3 linked regions of the Elephas maximus indicus genome follow. The protein of the gene in region 1 interacts with the protein of each later gene in a biochemical or structural test. Links are inferred from orthologs where the notes say so. Each region holds a gene or a part of one and is shown in the gene's direction. Other genes may lie near its edges.

The links.
Region 2: the proteins of UBR5 (region 1) and PAIP2 form a complex in vitro, tested with the Homo sapiens proteins (2 studies listed by BioGRID and IntAct, with this or other methods). The link is inferred for Elephas maximus indicus from reciprocal best matches to the Homo sapiens genes UBR5 and PAIP2.
Region 3: the proteins of UBR5 (region 1) and PCK1 form a complex in vitro, tested with the Homo sapiens proteins (2 studies listed by BioGRID, with this or other methods). The link is inferred for Elephas maximus indicus from reciprocal best matches to the Homo sapiens genes UBR5 and PCK1.

What each region holds. Positions count from the first base shown.
Region 1 is NC_064833.1:39,566,024-39,573,844, forward strand, and holds the start of UBR5 (E3 ubiquitin-protein ligase UBR5), read left to right. Parts: upstream 1-4,751; 5' UTR 4,752-4,798; coding exon 4,799-4,860; intron 4,861-7,821. UniProt on the Homo sapiens protein: E3 ubiquitin-protein ligase involved in different protein quality control pathways in the cytoplasm and nucleus. Mainly acts as a ubiquitin chain elongator that extends pre-ubiquitinated substrates.
Region 2 is NC_064820.1:152,470,983-152,478,982, forward strand, and holds the start of PAIP2 (polyadenylate-binding protein-interacting protein 2), read left to right. Parts: upstream 1-4,908; 5' UTR 4,909-5,048; intron 5,049-8,000. UniProt on the Homo sapiens protein: Acts as a repressor in the regulation of translation initiation of poly(A)-containing mRNAs. Its inhibitory activity on translation is mediated via its action on PABPC1.
Region 3 is NC_064843.1:11,697,613-11,705,580, reverse strand, and holds the start of PCK1 (phosphoenolpyruvate carboxykinase, cytosolic [GTP]), read left to right. Parts: upstream 1-4,951; 5' UTR 4,952-5,034; intron 5,035-7,968. UniProt on the Homo sapiens protein: Cytosolic phosphoenolpyruvate carboxykinase that catalyzes the reversible decarboxylation and phosphorylation of oxaloacetate (OAA) and acts as the rate-limiting enzyme in gluconeogenesis.

The sequences.
Region 1 (7,821 bases):
TTCTTCTTTTTTAATATTTTTACTTTCATTTTTGAAATTCTTGGTGGTATTCTTTGGCCATAGGAGTATGCTTTGCATACAAGTGGGGAAGGCTTGAAGGGTCAAGGAGAGCAATCCTCTACTGAAAGACAGATTTGATCATAAATACTCCTAGCTTCCTGTCCCCTCAGTGGGACAATTCTGAGGTGTGTCCCACATAGTTTCTCAGAGGGTTTCCAGTAGGACAGAGCTCCAGTTACCCACAGTGGTAAAACATTCACTAGAACCCCTTTTATTGGCTTTTCTCTCTTCCTTGTTTCCACTCCCATACAGTGCTTCCTGGGATCATCTTCTGAATAAACTACTTATAGTCAAACCCTTGTCTCAAGGTCTGCTTTTTGGGAAACCAAATCTAAGACTTGGCCTATTTCAGGGGTGTAGCCCTTCAGGGTCTCAGCACAGAATAAGAGGCCCTGCATATCAATCGTTGTTGTTTTAGTCCGGAGCATTTGTCAAGTGTTCAGACTCTTGGCTTTTCAGCCTGTCTCTCTAGAACTGGCATTCATCTTTAGAAGAAAAAGTGGCTCCAAACATAGGACTCACTTCCCTGGGTCTCATTCTTCCTTTGGATCCTGGCTTGGGAAGTCATCATTATTTTGTTAGCTCTCTTTTTCTTTAAGCAGATTTAAAGAAATATTTTGTACAACTTTTCTAGTTGTCCTCAGAGGGAGGATTAATTCAAAGGACTAGTAAGTCCCCAGCCTCCTTTTGTAGCCTTATATTTTGGGAGCCCTGGTAGCACTGCCATTAAGAGTTTGGCTGCTAGCCAAATGGTTGACAGTTTGAATCCACCAGCCTCTCCTTGGAAACCCTATGGGCCAGTTCTACTCTGTCCTATAGGGTTGCTATCAGTTGGAATCGACTCTACGGCAATAGGCTTTGTTTTGTTTTTGGTATTACGCTTTGAGTCTTCACAGAGATTGTTTTTCTTGAGTCCTGCTTATTTCTATTTCTCTATCTCCATTTCCCCCACCACTCCACCCATGCATCCTATTGGCTTTCACAACTCCATGACTTTGTTCTTCTTTTTCCCGGTTCAGAATATGACCCACCAAAGTATCAGCCCTGGAAGAAGAGGATTGTTGCAAACATGCCAGTCTGGGACCACAAAAAGGTAGCAATGCCAAGATGGTCGTGAGTCAGAGATCAAGTAGGCAGTTCGAAAGGGCTGCCAAGAAAGTATGTCACAGTTCTAGGAAACTCCCATTGCTGTCAAGTCAATTCCAACTCACAGGGACCGTATAGGACAGAGCAGAATTGCCCCACAAGGTTTCCAAGGCTGTAATCTTTACAGAAGCAGATTGTCACAGCTTTCTCCTGTGGAATAGCTGGTGGTTTGAATCACTGGCCTTCTGGTTAGCAGCTGAGTGCTTAACCACCGCACCACCAGGGCTCCTTGAAGAAACTGTCATTGTTGTTGTTAGGTGCTGTTGCGTTGGTTCCGACTATAGCAAGCCTATGTATAACAGAACAAAATACTGCTGGGTCCTGTGCCATCTTCATAATCATTGTTATTATTGAGCCTATTGTTGCAGCCACTGTGTCAATTCATCTCCTTCAGAGCCTTCCTCTTTTTCTCTGACTCTCCACTTTACCAAACATGATGTACTTCTCCAGGGACTGGTCTCTTTTGATAACATGTCCAAAGTATGTGAGATGAAAGTCTTGCCATCCTTGCTTCTAAGAAGCATTCTGGTTGTACTTCTTCCAAGACAGATTTGTTCATTCTTCTGGCAGTCCATGGTATATTCAATATTCTTTGCCAAAGGCAGGCCGTATTTCAAAGGCGTCAATTCTTCTTCTTCGGTCTTCCTTACTCATTGTCTTGCTTTCACATGCATATGAGGTGATTGAAAACACCTTGGCTTGGGTCAGGAGCACGTTAGTCCTTAAAGGAAACTAACTGAACTGAAACCTTTGCTGTCAAGTTGATTCTGACTCATAGAGACCCCATAGGACAGTGTAGACTGCCCCACAGGATTTCCCAGGAGTGGCTGGTGATTTGAACTGCCGATCTTTTGGTTAGCAGCCAAGTTCTTAACCACTGGAAACTAGGAGTGGGTAAATCAGGTCAAAAGGAGGGTGGAGGCAAAATAAAAAGATGAAGGACAGATTTGGAAAAAAAGAGAAATAAGGCACGGTATGGGCAAAGTATGGAGTTGGTTCAGGGACAAATCTAAAAGGATCGGATTTAAGCTACGTAATCTATTTGCCCAGAACATTCTTGAAGGCTCAGCTTAAATGATTTTGAATTCTTTTCACTGGAATCACTTTCTCCTTTAACTTCCATAGTACTTTTATTGCATTTATCATATCACATCTTTTTCAACTGGCTTTAAATAGTCTGTTCCTTCTAAATTATTAACTACTTAATAGCAGCTGTGGTATAGTAGAAAGAGCAACTGAATCAGAGTCAGAAGACCTGGGTATAAGTCTCAACTTTAGGACTTATCATCTATGTCATCGTGGGCAAGTTATTGAAGGTGTCTGGCTCTCAGTATTCTCATCCACAAAATGGGGATAATACCATTTACCACCCTAAGGCAATCTGATACATATAAAAGGTATATAAAATGGTACAAAGTGAGCATTCAACAAATAAAATCTTTTATCTGCTGAGCTTACTATGTGTTATGAACTGCTCTAGGTGTCCAATATGTACGCCATCACAATTCTTTGCAGCTCTATTAATACATTAAATAAAATAACATAACATTTTACAAATGAGAAGGAAAAAAAGCTACAATCGGTTAAATAACTTACCCAAGATAATAATGTTAGTTAAATAGCAGAACCAGTACTCAAATCCAGGTCTGTTTCTAAAACCAACAGTCTCCACTGGGCCACCTTGTCTCCCCACGGCTCACATGGACTTCTAATACATACCAAAAACCAAATCTGTTGCCATCAAGTCAATTCTGACTCACAGCAACCCTACAGGACAGAGTAGAACTGCCTCAACAGGGTTTCCAAGGAATGCCTGGTGGATCTCAACTGCCGACCTTTTGGTTAGCAGCCCTAGCTCTTAACCACTGTGCCACCAGGGTTTCTAACACACAGTAGCCTTGAAGTCACTTTTAATCTAAGCTAATCTGGGCCGATGTTGGAGCAAGGGACCTACAAAAGTGTTCCCTTGTTTGTCTCAAAGGCTACCTAGTCTATTCTGATTTATAAACAAATTTTCATATACTTTGCACAAGGAAATTTCCTAAGCAAGAGTGTGTGTGTGTGCAATGCATTAACAGGAAAAGCGATATTTTATTCTTAACATTTTACAGGACCCCTGATTTAACTAACATTCACACAGACTGGTTAAGAGGTATGTCAGGGAAGAAGGAACTGTTTTCAGTTTTTGCCATTAAGTTTTAGAGTTCCTCAGAAGTACTTGAGTTTTTAAAAAGATCATAGAAACCTTGGGAAGAAAGCTATGATTTGGCTTTCCAAGAAAAAAAGCTGATAAATCCATTCAAGTACTTCCAGTTATGATCCCACTGATGACAAGCTGAGGAACTTCTTTGTAGAAAAGATATACCATCTTTCACTTTAAAGCAATAATAAAAAAATGATGAATCATTTAGATCAGTAAATTATTTTGTGTCCACGTTTTCTCTTTGTGGCGGTATGGGATGGTGGTGGTGTTGGGGGACATTACGGAGACCAGAGTTGCAAAAGAACTGCAAAGTCAGTTCCCTGATCCTACTATCACCTTCAGGTAAGGCCCTTACATAAATACCTTACTTCTCCAATAAAATAAAAGGCTGTTTATTTCTTGCCCTTTATCTGATACTACACTTTCACTTTAAGTACAAACGCGGATGAAAGAGAAACAACAAAACACCCCGAAGGATCGGCAAAATAATTCGGGTTGCCCCAGGGAAATCAGGGAGAGAGAAGAGAAGAGCCCCCCTCCCTTCCCACCTCCCTCGGGACACACTTACCCTCCCTCCCGAACTCCCCACCAGCCCCGGCGGGGCCGCCCCTGCGCCTCCTCCTTCCCTAACACGTGCTCCCCGGAACACTCACTCCGAGCTAGCCCACCCCCCGCGGAGGGCTGGGCTCGGGCGCCGACCAGCCCAATCCTCACGCGCCTTACAGCGCCGTGGCCCGACAACGTTGAGCCGCCCAATCGAGAGGGCCTCACCGCCCGTTTCCCGGAGCCCCGCCCCTCCGCAGCCGTGCCCCCGCCCGCCGGTCTCCGCCCTCCTCCTCCTCCCGTTCGCCCCGCCCCCGCCGCTCCGGAGCGGAGCCTGCGAGACGGAGAAACTGGGGCAGAAGTGAAGATGGCGGCGGCGGTGCTGGTGGCGGCGGCGGCGGCTTCTCGCCAGTGACGCGCGGTGCGGGCTCAGCTCCCTCCCCACCTCCCCCAGTCCGGACCCCGTCTGCCGCCGGGACCACACCGACCCCGCAGCCCGCCCCTCTCCCCCTCCCCAGTCGCCCCTTTCCCGACGCCCGGCTGCCGCTGGCGGCGGCGGCGGTGCCGCGGCTCGGGTCCCGGCCGCCGGCCTCGCACTCTTTGGTGCTGTCGCCGGGGGAGCGGGTGGCGTGTTGATCCGCCCTCCTGCCCGCCCCGCCGAGTCGCCGGGCCGCCGACACACGCCCGGCAGGGAGGCGGCGGCGGCCCCTGCGCATTTGCTTCCCTCCATCTGGGGACTAGGAGGCGGCGACGGCGGCAGTGGGTTTTGGGGAGGGGAAGGGGTCTCGGGGGGTGGGCGAGCGCCGGAGGGGGCAGTCCTCGGGAGGAGGACGAGAAGGAAGCACCATGACGTCCATCCATTTCGTGGTTCACCCGCTGCCGGGCACCGAGGACCAGCTCAATGACAGGTAATAGGGCCGGCGGGCGGGCGGGCGGGGGGAGGGGCGCCCTCCCCTCCCCCACGGGGCCGCGCCGGACGGGCGCCGGTGTTTACGCGCAGTCCGCCCGCCGGGGGGGTCCTCCCGGCCCCGAGCTAGGCCCCTTCCGGGCCAAACTTCTTGTCCAGTAGGATGCGGGGGGCGCGCGGTGTAGACGGGGGCCGCGGTGTAGACGGGAGAGCGCACCGCAGCCCCCGCCCTGAGCGGCCCCGTTGAACTCGGCGGAGATGGGGGGCTCCAGCTCTCGGGGTTGGGGGGGCGGGCTGTAATTACCTCCCGGCCCAGGCCCTAGGAATCCATATTAGTCAAAGTTGAATTGAGACAGACAATGCGGATGGGGGATGGTGGAGGTAAAAAGAGAGGGAAGAGGAGAAGCGCGGCGAGGGGGCCGGGGCAGGGCTGGGCTGGCTCGCCCCGGCTCCCGGGAGCTGGGTCCGGAGAGCTGGACCGGAGCTGCCAGTCCTGGGAGATCCCGGGGGGAGAAGCCGATTCCCGGCATTCGCGGGGGAGGGAGGGCGGCGAGGGAGGGAGGAAGCGCCATGATTATTGTTATTATTATTGAATTTGAGCCCCTGCAGTGAGGCTTGCCTGCCCGGGGAGGGGATGAATTCAGGCGGGCGTCGCGGGGCGGATTGCCTTTGCTCTCCCTGTCTTGAAACGGTACTGGCAGTTCATCCTTCCAGCCCCTGTGGTGCGAGCTTTTTTTGTTCCCCTTTTTATTCTAATGATAGTGTTTTCCTGAGTTGTAATTTGACAGCTGAAAACCGTGCGTAGAGTCAAAGGAAAACTCCTAGCGTTTGCAGCTCGCAATGCTGCTCTTCTTAACACGCTGTAAATTTCTAGGATGAGTTTGCTGTGGGCAGAGGAGGAATTATGATATGTATTTTTTTTTGTCTTTCATAAGAAGGCTGTTTTAGCCATGGATTCCTCCCCTTCCCTCCTCCACCGTTCCCGGCCAGTTTAGGATATTGAATTGCAGGGCCGCATGCTCACAGGGAACTGAGATAAAGCAGGAAAAGTTCCTTTACTGTTGCAAAACAGACTCAGGAGGTCGAGGGAGGCCTCCATTAAAGCATGTCTTTGAATCTAGGACTCAGATCGAATGATGGGCTAAATGTTTACAGGATCAGAAGGTAGGGCATTTAAGCCTCCCTCTCCCCCAATACTACTCTGTGTATTTCTTGTGAGTGTAATAGGCCGTCTGGTCCCAAGTTTAGAAGTTAGGTATAATTTTTGCTAAGTGACCTGGTGACATAAGTTGCATGACGCCCTGTTTGTCATGCGCTTCCTGGAGGGAGGAAGAGGCCTAACTTGCTGCTAAAATATTGGCCTTTCTTGATGTGTATAACCGCCTCAGGTCGGCCGGGCAACTTTTAAGTCCAGAAAACTGGAGGCTTGGTTTTAGCACTGGGTTGGATTTGTGTAATCTTTGCTGTAGCCATACTGTATTTAACATGCTTGTGAAACTTTTGGAGTACTTTTTGAAAATGTTAACCATTTTAAGTTGTCACATAGTTCCTTTAAATATGGAAATAACCTTCAAGTTATTTATTTTAACATTTTGTTATCTGATCCTTTGAGTTTATTTAGTGATGTTTTTAAGACTTCAACATAAGATTCTTTGTAAATTTAGAAGTAATTTTCTTTAGATTCAGGCTGGTAGTGAGGATAGCTCTACTGTCATTTATAGAACCAAGTGAGTAGTACTTGTCCTGTAACTTAGAAAATTGCACCAGGGAGGAGAGAACTAGGTCATGTTTTCTATATTAAACCCAATTTTCTGTTATGTATCAGGAATCCTGACTAGCTTACTCACTTGGCTGTGCACGCCAAAACCTATAGTACAATTGTATTGGGCACCTGGTTTATTTTTGAGCATTCCTTTTGCTTCAGCTGTCTTGAGAAATTTACATGTATCTTTCTTACAGATGCCTTTTTTTCCTCCAATATGAGTGTAAACAGTCAGCTTTGATTTTGATTCCTATAGTGTCAAGATACAATATTAAGAATGTTGAGACCATCTTGAATTTTTAATTCCATGAAATAAGGAAAAAAGACAAGTGTATTTGATTTAGGTTATAAAATCTGTGCATTAATATGACAGATACTTGAGTAAATAGAAACGTGCTGTAGGTAGAAATTTAGGTACTTGTATCTAGTAGCTGTAAAAATGTCAAGATTCGTTTTGTAAAGGCAGCATTTGAGACAGTCATGCAACTTAAGTTTTGGAATAGTAGATTTGTGCTGGGAGCTGTTGTGTCTGCCCTTCAAAAGAAAAGATCTGTTTTGCATGCCTCATGGCAGAGTTGCACAAGATCAACCTATTGCTTGAGAAAAATGCTTCCATTCATGATTGGTTTTTCTGGACCCTTTTAATGATCCAGAACGAGCAGCCCAGAAGATCTTCATCTTCAGATAAAAACTTAATCAAAGCTTATTAAGTTCTGGTAATAGAAAAGAGTGTGCTACTGTAGCTTGATTTTTGTAAGATATGTGTCTTTTGTGATAGTCATAAACTAAATGATAAATGATAGTTTTGGATGAAAAATTATAAATAGGTAGACTTTGTTCTTTACCTGAAAAGCAGTAAGATTGATGAGGCAGTATGGTACTGTAAATAAATTGCCCAGTTAAAGAAAACTGTTGAGCTGAAACCACCACCAATATTTTCTTCTCCAAATAAATTTTCTTTCTTTAAATACATACATTCTGTTAAAAGTCAAACATTTTGTTCAGTGTAATAGTCTGATGTCTTAAACATCTAAAATGTACCCAGCACAAAGAAAAACACCTGATATTTTTTCTTAATGTGTGTTCCCAAACTTCCTAATTTTATGATAGTCTGCACATACTAGGTTAAAAATCTTTAATTATTGTCCCTTGGAGGCTAGATAATGAATGAGCGAAGTTAATAATTATAGGGGGCAGTGA
Region 2 (8,000 bases), on another chromosome or scaffold:
TTGCTGGGCCCCACTCCTGGAATTTCTGATTTACTAGATTTGGGATGGGTCCAGAGAATTTGCATTTTTAGCGGGTTACTAGGTAGTGATGTCAAGAATAGAGACATTAGGAGAATGATTGCTTTAACTATAGCTATAAAAGTGTGTTCAGATAGTTGTAACTAGAGTCCTGATTTAGTTAACATTGCCTGAAGAACAGGTCTCGCTACTGTCCTCTTTTGAGAACACACCTTGTGCAAAGCCTTTTTGGGGTGGGAGGGCGGTTTGGTTTGGTTTCTTCCATGAATCAGTGGAAGAAACTTGTTTCCGGACCCTATAAATACTGCTTTCCTCTATAATTAATTGCACTGCCCAGACCTGCCCTTCTCCATGTTTTGCTGGAAACAAGAAAAAAGTTCAAGTCTTCTGGGTACTTCATGCACTCATACCTTCTCGGGAAGGTTAGTGAAGTCTTGAGAATTAGCTGAAGCCTGACCAGGTTTCTTTTCCCATCTTCTACAGTGGACCTCTAGTCAGTCACAACATAGGATTTCATGAACCAGCTTGATATTAGATAGTTTCTACTGAATGGCAAAGGGAGAATGGTTACTCTCTTAACCGCTTGGGTGCATCCAACCTGTTGATTGATAATACTTTGAAGTTGAAACTGGCTAGACTCATTTGGAGAAGTAGTAATTAGATAAAAGTCCTACTGTTGCTCTACTGTTGATTCTAAGAATCTTGATTTCTCCCTGACATTCAAAGAACTTGAATCAGAGTGGAGTAATTTTCCAGAAGGCATGTTTCTTGGCTTTTTACACTTCAAAAGAATGTGGACTTTAACCCCAGCTCAATATACAAAGGTATGCCATCAAAGTATTCTTTAGGAAAATGAATTTTAAAAAGTCTAAGAACTGTCAGAAGGTAATAACAGTTTTGAAAGGAATAAAGTATATTCACAGTCTTAAAGAATTTAGCTTGGGGTTTTAAGCCCTGACCTTTTCTTGTACTTAACATTGTAGCTTTAGAAAGTTAATGTAATTTTTATACAACTTAGGAACTCTGAAGTCAAGTGCACAGTAGGAAGTATGAAAAATGTGAAAGTGGAAACTAAAGGAAAGGGCAACCTCTTAGGTATAACAGACAAAAGCCAATAAACGTCTGTCAGCCCCTCCGCCTCAGGAGGATACCTACACTCAGCATACACAGGATAGAAATTATTGACATTGGGTGCAGGTTTTAATCAACTGTGATGACACTGCTTCATACATGGTAGTATTGATGAGATGTTGCCTTAAAGGACCTGATCCAAATGGGATATGCCAACACCAAGAGCAGGAGAATTTTAACGTTTGATAGGATGGATGCTCTTCCAATTTCACTCATTGCCTGGCCAGTCAAAAACGTGACCAATTTCTCGTTGCTCAACTTAGAAGCAATGGCTAATGGCCATCTGGAAATTTGAGGAGAGAGACTTTTTTCCACGAAAAGACTTGGCTACATACAATCAGAAGTTGCAGTTAGTTCCCAGCTACTTTCTTGGCAGCTACCAACAGTCTGCCTTTGTTACATGGGCTTTTTTTTGCTCCACTTCTATAAGGACAAAACCAGTTGTCGTGTGTGCCAGAGCAGGACTGTGTCCCATAGGATTTTCAGTATCTGGTTTTTTGCAAGTAGATTGCTAAGCTCTTTTAGGCACTTCTGTGTGGACTCAAATTTTTACATTAGCAGGCAAATACTCTAACTTTGCACTACCCACAGGGATTCCTGTATTAGCATAAGCCCACATTTATGCCGTTTTTGTGAATTCTTTCGAATTTGTGTGGTGCCTGAAAGCTTGTGGAAAGGAATTTCCTTTTAAGTTGATTATTGGTAAAGTAGTTAGTAAGACTCTAATAATACCTCCTAATTTGTTTTCCTGTTGTGGCTTCTGCTGTTCATAAGCACAAAATGTCTCAGATCCCTCTTCTATTACACATCTACTTAGTTCTTAGATCCAGCAAAGCCTGCCTCCTCAACATATACAAATTCCACCCTTTTAAGTCCTGGCCATTTTTAAGCCCCACACTCGGGCATGACTTTTCCAGGAAAAGATAACTACTTACTGCCTTGCTGCGTATCAGTGCATAGAACAGTGCTGGCACATAGGCTTTCAGTGTTGAATGTTTACTTCCTCACCTGAATTGTTAAATTCATTCAGAGCAGGGGCCTTTGCTCATCCCCACACTGCTAGGCCTTTATGCAGCATTTAGTAATGCTGGGCTACCATTGTCTGCGCAGCTTCCTCGTGAGATTAGCATGGGGACAAGGCTCTTAACAAGCTACTGTAGAAACCTATGTTAAATTTTAATTCAGAGTGTTTTTTTTCCCCCTTATTTTTAAACGCAGTTCAAGCTTTCATACAGAATTCAAACAATACAGAAAAGTATACAGAAGATAGTAAAATTCCATCGAAATCTGATCACCTAGAGATGGCAATATTTTGGTGACCATTCATTTACTCTTATACCCATGTATGTCTGTGTTTACATAGACAATTTTAGAACATTATACATGCTATTTCGCCACCTATCTTAAACTGCATTGTGGGTATCCTAGTACACCATAGTTTAATTCCCTATTGATAGGCTTTTCGTTTTTTTGGCATTCAGAGCATAGCTATGAGTATCCTTCTATGCCTCACACATGTCTAATTTCTTTGGGTAGATTATGTGTGGTGTTTGGGTCAGAAGGTGTACATATTTTGTATTTTCATAAAAATTAGAGCTGTTCAGGAAGGTGCTAAGAGTTTCAGAGTGGAAGCCTATTCCTAGTCATCCTGCTTCTTCATTACCATCTTGATTTCTACTCCAATACTTAAGATTGTTACTACAAACCAAGCAGCTGAATCTCCACAGTATTTTTAAACTGTGGGCCTCTGCTAGTCCCGTCGCAGTGTCTCAGTCCTCACCGTTAGCAAATTGCTGACTAGCCTTCACTCTATTGACAGTGTTTTCCATGCATAGACCATCACTACCATCCAAAGATAGCATGGGTATTGTGAACTCCCATTTCACAAGTGGAAGAGGAGCCTTCAGAGTAGAACTGCCCTGTAGAGTTTCCAAGGAGCACCTGGCGGATTTGAACTGCCGAGCTCTTGGTTAACAGCCGTAGCACTTAACCACTATGCCACCAGGGTTTCCACTACAGATTATCCAGCTTCCATCTATTTTGATTTTTGGTATCCCCCATCCTGTTCATGCCTCTTCCAACCTGTGAGGTTTATCTCCCAGGTACCTCTCCTATACCCCTTGGATGTAACATACTCCACAGAATGATAATAGTATCATCTCTTTCCTCCCAGAACAGGCAGCAAAACCAAACCTTTCCTCTAAGTTTAGGATGTTCGGTGCTGTAGAATTGGTTCGGACTCAGCGACGCTATGTACGACAGAAGGAAACACTACCCAGTCCTGCACCACCCTCACCATTGTTACTATACTTGAACCCATCTTGCAGCCACTGTCGATCCACCTCGTTGAGGGTTGTGTTCTCTTTCGTCGACCCTCTACTAAGCACGATGCCCTCCAGGAACCAATCCCTCCTGATAATATACCCAAAGTATGTGAGACAAAATCTTGCCAGAGTGGTAGACGGGGACTAAAGCACAGCACCTGTGTTCCTTATTTGGGACTTTGGAACTAACACAAAACAGGTTTTCAATGAATGAAACGGTTCTAAAGAAAACTAGCCCTATTTCTGGATTCAAGCATTCTCATGAAAAGAATTTTTTTTTCTTGCAAGAACAGTTTTAAAAAAGGCTCCAATGTAACAAGAAGATTTACAATAAACGGTAAATCTTAAATGTTTCCCAGTCCCTCATTTGCCCTCCCAAGAGGCAAGAAATTACCCGTTTTTGTGTGTCCCCTTCTAATACAATGTATACGTATTCAAACATCCAATTTTCTTACACTATTCTGTGTATTTAGTTTCACTTTAAAATGTAACTTGGAGCTTGCCAATGATAGTAAAGAAGCATGAATAAGATTAATAAACGTATGGGGTGTACTGCATCCAGGATCATGGGCTAAAAAAGTCATGGGCCCTAAGGTCTTATCCAGGATGTCTCTGAACAGGGATTTCCCCTCTCAGCCACAAAGGTTTCCATAGGCTGCTTGGGAACCATGTATTCAAATTTTGCGTTTGTACATAATGGTCCGGCTTTGTGTTTGTGTGCCCATACGTGTCTCAGGGCAAGTGCTTGTAGATAATCAGTATATCTCTGTATTAGTTTATTATGTTTATCATATTTCTGTGTCACGATCTCTGGATGTGACTCGGTACATATCACTTAGCGTGACACTCATTTTTGGGGTGTGGGTCTGGGTGTGTGGGTACAAAGTTTCGCTGTCTACCCGTTACCGTACAGTGGATTCCGACTCACAGCGACCTTATAGGACACAGTAGAACTGCCCCATAGGGTATCCAAGGAGTGGCTGGTGGATTGGAACAACCGACCTTTTGGTTAGCAGCCGAACTCTTAGCCACTGTGCCACCAGGGTTCCATGCCTTTGTCTAGATGTCCCTATTTGGTGTCAGTATGTGTGTGTGTGTGGTAACCACTGGGATATGTAAGGGTCCAGATCTGTGTGTTTGTCAGGGTCTGTTTCTGTATCCACATCCCCCACCCACTGCGTCCTATCCTTCTCGAAAGATGGGCGGATGTAGGGAGAGTGAACCCGCCCTACTCCCGCCTCCCAGAGGGAACACAACAGGGCTCTCAATATATCCTGCAGGAAAGGCCGTGGCGCGTGCACACGTGTGCAACGTTCGGGGGACGCAGAAACTTTGGGGGTCGCGTGTTCTCTCGCGCGCTCTCTAGCGGACTCTGGCTGCAGCGCTGACAGAAAGAGGGGGCGGGGCCTGTCGTGGTGGCGGAAGTGAGGTCACTTCCGGTCTTGGGTGTTTGTTTGGACTGGAGAAGGGAGGTGGCGGGCTAAGCGCACGTCGAGCGGGGGAGCGGCGGTGCCTGTGGAGATCCGCGGAGGCCGACAGGATTCGTTGGCTGCCGTTCCCGCTGCGGTGCACTGGGTGAGGGGGTCCCTTCGGGTGGAGGATTAAGAAGGGTGCGGCGGCCCTGGCGGTTGAGACACAGCACCTCGGCGACGCCTGAGGGGCCTAGAGGGTCTCCACGGATTGATAGCCACCGCGTCCCCGTACGGCCTCTGTTGTTTCTTTCCCCTTTCCGCTGAGTGTGAGGGACAAGCTTGGGCTGACTTCGTCTCTTTCTTCTTTTAGAAATGGCCGTTGCTTTTTTTCTCATTGTCATTATTATTTATGATTTGGTTCTGGCAGATTTCTATCCGGGTCCCCCGTGGCGCGCAGGGGTTGTCGGGATAGCACTTTCTGGTATCTCCTCACCCTTGCCGAAGCCCTTTCTTCACTCCCCACCCCCATCCCCGTACCCTTTCTCTAGCCCCCCGCTGCCGCCTCGGCAACAAAGCTCATTGTTTCTGCCCACTTTACGCCTGCGCGTCGCCACGCGCACCCTCTACTTGCTGCGCGTGCGCGCTCTTACCAAGCCTGGGACGGTGGGGAGGGGTGTGAGGCAGAAGGGGCTGGAGGGACTAGCGGGCTGACGAGCGTTCTCGGGGAGCACCGTGCAGCCGTCAGCGGGCCTGTATCTTTCTGAGCCCCTTTCTCCGATTTCTTCGCCTCCTCTACTCCTTATTTTTAGTTGTATTGTATCCCTTGTTCTGGATAGCAGTACCTTTGTTTGGGGTACTGGGGTCTCCTACTCCAGGCGAGCTGTGAGCTAGATGAACTTTAAGAGCCCATCTAATTTATAGTCTTTGATACTCTTTTCTTAACCTTTTAATTCCTTTTAATACTTAATACCGAAAAAAATAGGACTTGTGGTGAAGTTTTGTTTTCAAAATACTTGTTTCAGCAGCCGGCAGTGGTATTTTCTAGTGACTCCTGGAAGGATTCTTTTCTGCCTTCTTTTGGTCTCTTGCTTTCCCTGATTTTGTGACCCTGTTACCTTACGGAAACTCCAAACTCTAGAAAGAATTTCGCTTCCAGTTTGCCTTGGAGAAAGGTTTAACCTAGGCTTTAACGTTAATTTCAACAGAAGACAGATTGCCATTTGATGTATGCTGGCAAAACTTGTGCCCTGGTAGCACAAATTGCATTTGAGTAGGTGGTAAGGTATTGGTTTGCATTTTCATGAAATAACCTTTGAGATTTCATCCGCAGCATTTTGTTTGCTAATAGGAAAAGGGTATTTCAGGATTTTTTTATGGGACTCCGGTGTTTGCTATTTTGTGGTTCTGCTTCCGGTCTGTGAAAGCATGTATGTGGCAAATTAGTCTTTTTGTGTTATTTGTTGGTTGTGAACTCGAACAAAACTATTTCTCACAAATAAATATTTACCACAAATAAAGATAGGAAGAGTCCAAAAATTATATTTCTGTTTTTCAGAGAAGGGAGGTTGGAGACTGGAGACTTGTAATGTAAAGGCTTGGGAGCTTGGCGTTTTTGTTATAGTATATTGCTTCTTAGGAAACCCTGGCGGCTGTGGTTAAGAGCTACCGTCACAATTCGAATCCACAGGCGCTCTTTGGAAACCGTGTGGGGCAGTTCTACTCTGTCTTACAGGGTCCCTATGAGTCAGAACTGACTGGAGGGCAATGGGTTGGGTTTTTATTGCTTCTTAAAAGCTCAAATTGAACTAAATGATTTTTACTCTCATTGGGACCCAGTACTGTTTATAGCAGAGCCCTGGTGGTGCAGTGGTTAAGAGCTCAGCTGCTAACCAAAAGGTCAGCAGTTCGAATCCAACAGCCACTCCTTTGAAACCTTATGGAGCAGTTCTCCTCAGTCCTGTAGGGTTGCTATGAGTCGGAATCAGCAACAGACTTCTTTTTGGTTAAGTTACAGCAGGCTTTTCCATGAGTGAGTACTGTACACCTTATTCATATTCATCCATTTATGACTCCGGTTTTGTGTGTGTGTGTGTGTCTTTTAGATGAAGGTTTACAGAACAAACTAGCTTCTTATTAAACGCTTAACAGCCTCAGGACATGTCAGCACTCTCCTTTCTTGACCTTAGGTTCTCTGTTGTCCCCTCCTGCCTTCTAGTCCTTGCCCCTGGGCTGGTGTGCCCTCTTTTGTCTTGTCTTGTTTTACCGGCCTGTCTAATCTTTGGCTGAAGGGTAGACCTCAGAAGTGACTTCAGTACTGAGCTATATGACTCCAGTTTTAAAGAAAATGTAGATATTCAGTAAATATTCACTGTCACCCCAGCAGCTTCATGGATATTGTGAGGGATTAAAGAAGGTGAAAATAAGGGCCTTGTCCCTATCCTTGTAATCTAATAACCTTTTATGCTTTTATATCTTGTAATTTACAAAATATTTTTGTATTCATAATAGCCACAACCTATGAAAAAAAAATTTTTTTATGAGGTAGGCAGAGCAAATTTTTTCTTACCTATTTTGAGATTGAGGAAATTTGAGCTTGAGAAATTTCTGTTTGTTTAGTAAATGCTTATATAACATTGTTCTAAGTGTTTTTATAGATATTAACTAACCCTTCTACCCTCTCTTACCACCTTTTGGAGTTAGGTAATACTGTAAAGTGAAGACAATAAATGAGAGATGTTAAATAATTTGGTCAGGTGTCACACACAGCTACTAAGAACTGGAATTCACATCCAGTTGGTCCAGACAGTGTGTGCTCTTAACCGTTATATTGTGCTGCTTGTGATTTAGTGACATATATATGGCCCCGTAGGTGGCATAGCTAGTGGCATATCTGGAATTTAAACATACTTCTGACTCTGGTGCAAGATTAAAGTTGTCTAAGTCATCACCTTTGTAAAGATCTGGACCTCCCTATTGCACAGTACATGAATGGTTTGCATTTGATAAAGCCCAAGGTTCAGTTCCAGTAGTTCATTCTTTTTTTCTTCTTAATGTTGTTTAAAACAGTGCTGTCCTATAAGGTAGCTACTAAGTACTTGTGGCTTTTGAGCATTTG
Region 3 (7,968 bases), on another chromosome or scaffold:
GCCCTCGAGCTGGTTCTGACTCATGGCAATCCTAGGTATACCAGAACGAAACATTGCCTCCTTCTGTGCCCAACTCACAATAATAGTTATGTTTGAGCCCATTGTTGCAGCTACTGTGTCAGCCCATCTCATTAAGGGTCTCCCTTGTTTTTGCTGACCCTCTGCTTTACCAGGCATCATGTCCTTCTCCAGGTGTTGGTCCTTCCTGATAACCTGTCCAAAGTAAGCAAGACTAAGCTGGTATAGGGACCAGGTTACATTTCATTCTGGTATACAGAAGGTTGCCATGAGTAGGGGCTGACTCGATGGCAACTAACAAGAAGCAGAGCCTGACCGGTGCCAGGAGTAGGAACCCTGCAACAGGGCAGCTGACCTCACACATCACCAAAGATGTGGTGAAATCCACATTAGTAAGTGGACACAATTAAGCCCGAGCGCACCTTGCTTACTGGTTAATCTGGCCCAGGGTATGGACACAGTCAGGAAGCCTCCGCTCACACAGCCTCCTTGCCCAGGAGAAGTTGAGCCCCGACGGGTGGAGGCCCTGAGCACATTGGTAATGCAGCCAAACCCATTCCTGTCGAGTTGATTTCAACTGGTAGTGACCCTGTAGGACGAGGTAGAACTGGCCAGTAGGGTTTTCCAAGGCTGAAATCTTTACGGAAGCAGACTGCCACATCTTTCTCACTAACCTTGGGGTTAGCAGCTGAGCGCTTTACCACTGCACCACCAGGGCTTTTTGGCGATGCAGCTGGTGTTGCGAATCCACGGGGAGGAATCGAGTAATGGACTGCCATGTTACCTCTCACCAGGTTTACATTAATGTCTTCAAATATTCCCGTTAGTTAACAGTGATGGATCAAGTGAAGATATTATTAATAAAAATTAGGTACCTGGATTGGGAGGAGAGAATTTTGTTCGCAGCTCAGCATTTAGCAAAGGGCAAATGAAAAAAAGATATTTTCAGTGGCTTGAAATTGCAATGAGTCAGGCCACTTATCAAAGCTGTCAAGATGAGGCTCCTCCAACCCCCCGGCAGCGTTTACCAACGTTCACAACACGCGTCCTGCTAATAGGAACTTGCTCGGCTGTAACTCACAAGACTGTGAAAACAACTCTGGCTATTTAGCGTGCCCATTTTATCGAATATGCATGGGTCTCGTAGCCCTTGATGCTTGCAATTATGGGAATGCACTGAGGGGCTTTTGGAAAAGTGAGCAACGTAGGTCTGAAAAGATGCCTGCTTGGGGTGGCTTTGGATCAGCCCAGCAGTGCGTGCACTAGGGAGCTGGTGGAGCAAGGGAAGGGCAGCGTCAGGCGTGAAAAACGAGTGGTTCCGTCAGGTACAAAACATAAATCCAATTCATGGAAATGAGAGGGAAGAAGCGGAGACGCGAAAGCATATGGAAAAAGTTCAGCGGAAACCTGAGGTGATGCCACCATTCCTCTATGATTGGAGATTTATCAGAGGGCAGGTGCATTTACTGGGTGCATTTGTTGCCCCCACAATGCACTTGGCACGTGGCCATAAGCAGCCTGTAGACCTGCCCAGCTGGGTTTGCTTGGCAGGCATTTGCTGAGCATCTACTACGTGCCAAGCATGATTTCAGGTGCGGAGGGTGCTAAAAGGAGTGAGAAGGGTGCTAAAAGGAGTGAGGAGGAAGGCACTTTGATGGCAGGGGACTCTGGCTTTGCTTCTTTGAGCCCTTCTCCATGCTGAGCCCCCCATGGGAGCCAATTGTTAAATAAATTTGTACCCATGAAAAACTGTGGTGCTGTGAAGTCAGCCTTCCTGACTCTTGAGGACTCTCTGCATAGGGTTCTCATCGGTTGTTTTGCAGAAGTAGATCACCAGGCGTTTCTTCCTAGTCCATCTTAGTCTGGAAAAAAAGCTCCCCTGAAACCTGTTCAGCGTCACAACCTGTTCAGCATCACAACCTGTTCAGCATCACAGCAACACACAAGCCTCTGCTAACATGTGGTGGCTGTGCATGAGTTATGTTGTCTGGGAATCGAACCTGGATCTCCTGCATGGAAAGTGAGAATTCTACCACTGAAACACCACGCCTTCAAACATGCCAGGCACTATTTTAAGTGCATTTTCTTGGGTGGCCAAATCCAATCCTTGTAATTCTGATGAAGCAAGTACCATAATTACTCTCACTTTACTGATGAAGAAACTGAGGAAACAAAGTTTATGGCTTGACCAAGCTACTTGGCCAAGATATAAGTTGAAGCGCCTGCCTCCAGCATCCATGCTGTTGACTGCTACTATATATTGCTTCCCTAATACGCACCTTGGGCCCCACCTACAGCTCAACAATATCAAGCCCATCCCGATGTCTGATGACCTTCATGGCCGATGGGATCCACTGCTCGGTGAGGTTGATGACCTCTGTATAGAAGTTGGTGTCCAAACATAGGGTTCTCACCCACTGATTTTCAGAAGCAGATTGCTAGGCCTTTCTTCCTAGTCGGTCTTAGTCTGGAAGTCCCTCATTGATTTTCGGCTCCCCAGTAGTCAGCCTGGTATTGGAGAGGGAGCCTCAAAGGGCTTGTGAGCGGAGTCCAGGCCTGAAACCATGCCCTAAAGCGGGCAGGGCCTGGCTGTGCTAGCTCAGGGATGCATCACAGCTTCCTGGCACCAAACCTCAGGCCACTGTAGGCAGAACTATAGGACTAAGATAGAACCCAATTTAATTGAAAATTAAAGAATTATGGAATCTACCTCATATGAAAGGAGCCCTGATGACACAATGGTTAAGTGCTCAGTTGCTAAGTGAAGGGTCAGTGGTTTAAATTCACCCAGTGACTCTTCAGAAGAAAGACTGGTGATCTGCTTTCGTGAAGATTATAGCCAAGAAAACCCTATGGGGCACTTCTACTCTGTCACATGGGTTCAACTCAACGGTACCCAATAACGACATCACCTGTGAGAAGGCACAGTCCCCCCACCCCGACCTCACCACCCCACTTATCATTTTCCTGCCGGAAACACCAACTTACTGAACTAAAGCCCCTGCATTGGCACTGGTTTGTGATTCCATGTAGCCAGAGAAAATTTCTTACCCTCTCAACAATTTCACTATTTCTTTAAATATCCCAAACACCAGAATGGAAGCTGCTTTCCTACTTCACCATTTGTCTTTCTGGATTGCAGCTCCAGAACCACATAGGCTAGTTCTTGAAAGGGGGCTATGGGTTGCCATCTTTTTTTTTTTTTTGTTGAGAATCTACACAGCTAAACGTACACCAACTCAACAATTTCTAGATGTACAATTCAGTGACACCGATGACATTCTCTGAGTTGTGCAACCATTCTCACCCTCCTTTTCTGAGTTGTTCATCCCCCTTAACATAAACTCACTGCCTGCAGGATTCCTATCCAAACTTTTGAGTTGCTATGGCCAATTTGATTCCATATAGACAGTTCTTAAAAGAGCACAATGCTTGAGGCAGATCTTTTTTACTACTAGTTAAGCTAAACTATTGTCCAGTTTTAAGATTTGAGGGGCTATTTTTGGCTTAAGGTTTGAAGATTATCTCTGGGCATTGGTTTTGAGGGGTTCATCCAGGTTTCATGGCTCCAGAAAGTCTAGATTCTAGGAGATTTGAAATTGGGTTGGCATCTTTTATCCCTCAGCTTCTGCAGTCATTTATTACAAAATTAGCTTTTTTTCTGTGTGTGTGAAGATCGACCATCTTCTGCGTCAGGATGTGAGAACGGCGGTGGTGAGGGCCTCAGTTTTCACGATATTTCAGCATAAATATATTTCAGGTTTCGACAATTAGGTCAGATGTCCCAGTCTCTGGCAAGATGTACTGGCAGGGTCCCCACCTCTGATGATCTGTCCCCAGATCTTGGCAGTGTGAACCTCCACCCCCACCCCCTCGGAAGAGGAGGTATGAGTTAGACTTCCTGAGTTTTAGAAATTATCCCAGCATGGACCAAAAAAGAGGTTTTTGTTCTGAGCTGCACTGTTACCACGGTGGGAAGAACAATTTGCATAGTTACCAGGGAGCACTGAGAAGGGTCTCGCTTAGTTTCCAAGCAATTATCATTATTTCCAATAGAGTTAACCGTTCTGCAAAGTGGATCCATTTTCTCGCCACAGGATAAGTGAGTTGGATTGTTTTTGTGTTAACTATGCAATTAGTTCTTCCTGCCGACGTTTCGCCTGGTGCTGCTGTCTTTTATCAGGGTGTGTGCTTGGAACAGTGTTCAGTGGCAAATTTGTTCTCATTTTGTTCGTTGAACTCGCAGAAGGTGGACATTGTTACTGTGGTGCTTTGAGTTGGAAGGGTTGTGTTAGTTTAAAGATGAGGAAACCAAGACCGGAGAGGACAAAGAAGTCTCCCGAAGGCTCTGTCTGTGATGAGCAGTGTTGGCAAGGGCCCATCTCTCCCTCTGCTGATTGGCGTGTCCATCTGTCTAGAGCCCCATGCGGATGGCATGGGCATTTTACAAGACCAGATGGAGCACGTCATACAACTACTGCCATCAACTCAAAAAGTCAGATACAAACAAAGGCCCAGAATAAACGGCAATGGTGGAAGATGGGCGGTTTTGGAAAAAATCTGAGGATGCTGTGATTACAACGTGCAAAATGAAGGAGAGAACCAAGTCAGGGTTGTAAAAAATTACAGCAAATCTGAATTTTTAATTTTGTTGGGTCTTAACTGATGAACTGTCCTTTTCGCCTTACGTAGTTGTTATTGTTGTTGGTGGCCATCGAGTTGGCACCGAATCACGGAGACCTTGTATATAAGCGAATGAAACACTGCCTGGTCCTGTGCCCTCTTCATGATTGTTGGTGTGTTTGCATCTTCCAGCATCATGTTGGACAGTGTTCTGTTGTGATCCGTAAAGTCTTCACTGGCTGATTTTCGGAAGGACCTTTCTTCTTAGCCTGTCTTAGTCTGGAAATTCTGCTGAAACCTGTCCCCTGTGGGTGACTCTACTGGTATTTGGAATACCAGTGGCATATAGCATCATAGCAACCTGCAAGCCACCACAGTGCGAGAGGTTGACAGGTGAGTGGTGAATGTAGTTGGGGACCTAACTACTTAGCTTGTTCCTTCAACCACCCGTTATAATCTGTGCATGTGGCACCCAAACAAAGAATTCCCAAGCATCCAGCAAGAACAGAGACAGCAAACACGATGTCAGAGTCATCCGAACCAGATAAAAGGGGAAAGAAACAAAAACCAAACCAAAACAAAATCAAGGCCATCATGGACTTTGGAATCCACAGCAGTGAATGTGTACAGTGATGAAGCGAGATGACTTTACAGCTGAGTAGGCCTTAGATCACCACTCGTCTGTCAGTTTCTTGCACTGTGGTACATTTGTCATACCAGATGTGTTAGGCTTAGTTCTCTACAGAAGTAAAACCAGTGAAATGTATATGTATAATTTTTTTTTTTAAATCTCAGGGAAATGGCTCATGCAGTTACACAGGCTGGTAAGTCCCAAGTCCATGGGTCAGGCATCAGGCTGGAGGCTTCTCCTGACTCACGTAGCTGGAGAATCTGACGAACTCAAGTTTGGCAGGTCAGATAGCAGGCTGCTGGCTCACGGGCTGCAGAGGTTGACAAACCCCAAAATTGGCAGGTAATACAGCAAGAAGCTGGCTCAAGTCCCGAGAGCAGAGTTCAGATGGTGACGAGCTGGATGTAGGATCCAGAGTAAGCAAAAGCCAGCGAGCTTTGCCAAAACATCCATATATTGGATACAGGCCACACCCCCAAGGAAATTCCCCTTACAACTGATTGGTGATCATATCAGCTCACATCATGGAGGTGACTATATCATTACATAACTGCCACTATGTAACTGAGAATCACGGCTCAGCCGAGTTGACCCACAACCTTAACCATCATAGTCCACCCCTTGTCAACTTGTTTCTTGTACATATCTCCTTAACCATACACAATCTCTAAATAAAGACAGTTACAAAGTCATACGTGCTCCTAACAGGATACAACTAACGTGTACAATCAAAAACACACCATCCCCGTTTACATCTTATATTTTATGAGTGAAGAAAACAAATATTTGATGTGCACATACAAGGAAGAAATACTCTCACCAATTACAGTCCTTATTTCTGCAACTGGCCACATGGTTATAACTGGTATTTAGAACTACTTTTTTCCATCACCCGTTCCATATTCCCTGTACCCTCAGCAAGTACCTCAGCTGGTGGTTCTGTTGTACATAGGGTGGCTGTGAGTCGGAACCAATTGCATCTCACAACAGGGCCTTCGAGTGTATCTCTTCCACTTCCACCCTTGCCGGGTGAGGAAAGTGAGACCCAGACAGGTTTGAGAAGGGGCAAAAAGGAAAAGAAAAAGGAAAACAAACCAAAAACCAACTGCTGTTGAGTCGACTCCAACCCCTGGCAACCCCGCATGTGTCGGAGTAGAAAGGTGCTCTGTAGGGTCTTCAGTGGCTAATTTTTTTGAAATAGATCACCTGGTCTTTCTTCCAAGGTGAACTCGAACCCCCAACCTTCTAGTTAGCAGCCGAGCACATTAACCGTTGTATCACCCAGGGACTCTAGAGGGGCAGAGACCAGAAACAACCCAGGTCTCCTGAGTCTTAGTTGGGTGTGGACTGGGTTGGCCTGGCTCAGTCAGGACGCTTCTAGATGTAAATAACGGGCAACCAGACTCAAAATGACTTCAACGAGTCTTCTTTGAACCATGCAATAGTTTAGCTTAACTGGTGAAGAATGTCTGCCTTGAGCATTGTGTTCTTTTAAAGAACTATGTGGGATCAAACTGACAATAGCAACCCGAAAGGTTAGATAGGAAGCTTAGGGGACGGTGAGTTTATGTTAACGGGGAGGAACGATTTGGGAAAGGAGGTTGAGAATGGTTGCACAACTTGAAGAATGTAATCAGTGTCACTGAATTGTACACGTAGAAATTGTTGAATTGGTGTATGTTCTGTTGTGTATATTCTCAACAACAACGGTAAGATAAAATAACAAAAAATGGCTTCACGGACGAGGAGTTCTGTAATTTCCCACTGTCCAGAGGCGAGCAGAGCAATTTTAGAATCTGAGTGCCCCAACTTGAGGGCGATTGTCCTGCCTTGGCCCTGTGTTGCAGTCTCCTCTGTATCAGCTAATTGTCAGCAGCTTGAGGGCGGTGAAGGCTAAAGGGCGAAGCCACTCCCAGAGGCAGAAGCAGGTGGACCTACAGTGGGTGTGATGCTGTAACGTCATCGTTTCACCAAGGCCGCGGCTCTCTCAGGCCACTTCATAAACCTGGCGAAGAAACCTCCTGAGAAAATCAACAAGATTTTATAGCCCCGCTGTTCCCATGGGTCAGCAAGGGTTGAAACGGGAGGTAATTAGGCCTCTGAAAAGTTCTAATACCTGGATATTGGCATTTATTTACCATGTCTTGAGTGTAAAGCTTTGCAGCTAAAATCATCTTTTATTAACTGTATTCAGGCAAGTGGTTTAGCTCTAGATCCATTTCAGTTTCTTCATTGTGGAAAACATAAGCAAACAAACAAAACCACAGCCCTCTAGGGGAAAGACACCTTAATGATGTAATAAGTTGACCCCACATCTTCAAACTAAAAAATGGACTATGTAATCTTTTTTTTTAATTATTATTAATTGTGGTGAAAACATACACGGGAGAACGTACATCCATTCATCGGTTTCTGCCCATACAGTTCAATGACATGGACTACATTCTCCACATTGGGTCACCATTCTTGCTCTCTCTACCCATGTTGTTCCACAACCATTGACTTAGACTCCTTACCCCCTGAGCTTCTTATCTGTGCTTTAGCGTTACTGTTGACAGTTTGATCTCATACAGACAGTTCTTTAAAAGAATAAAATTCTCATGGTGAACATTCTTTACTGGTTTAGCTAAACAGTTGTTTAACGATGGCTTCAGGGGATAATTTTTTTTTTTTAATTTTTTTATTGTAGTTTTTTT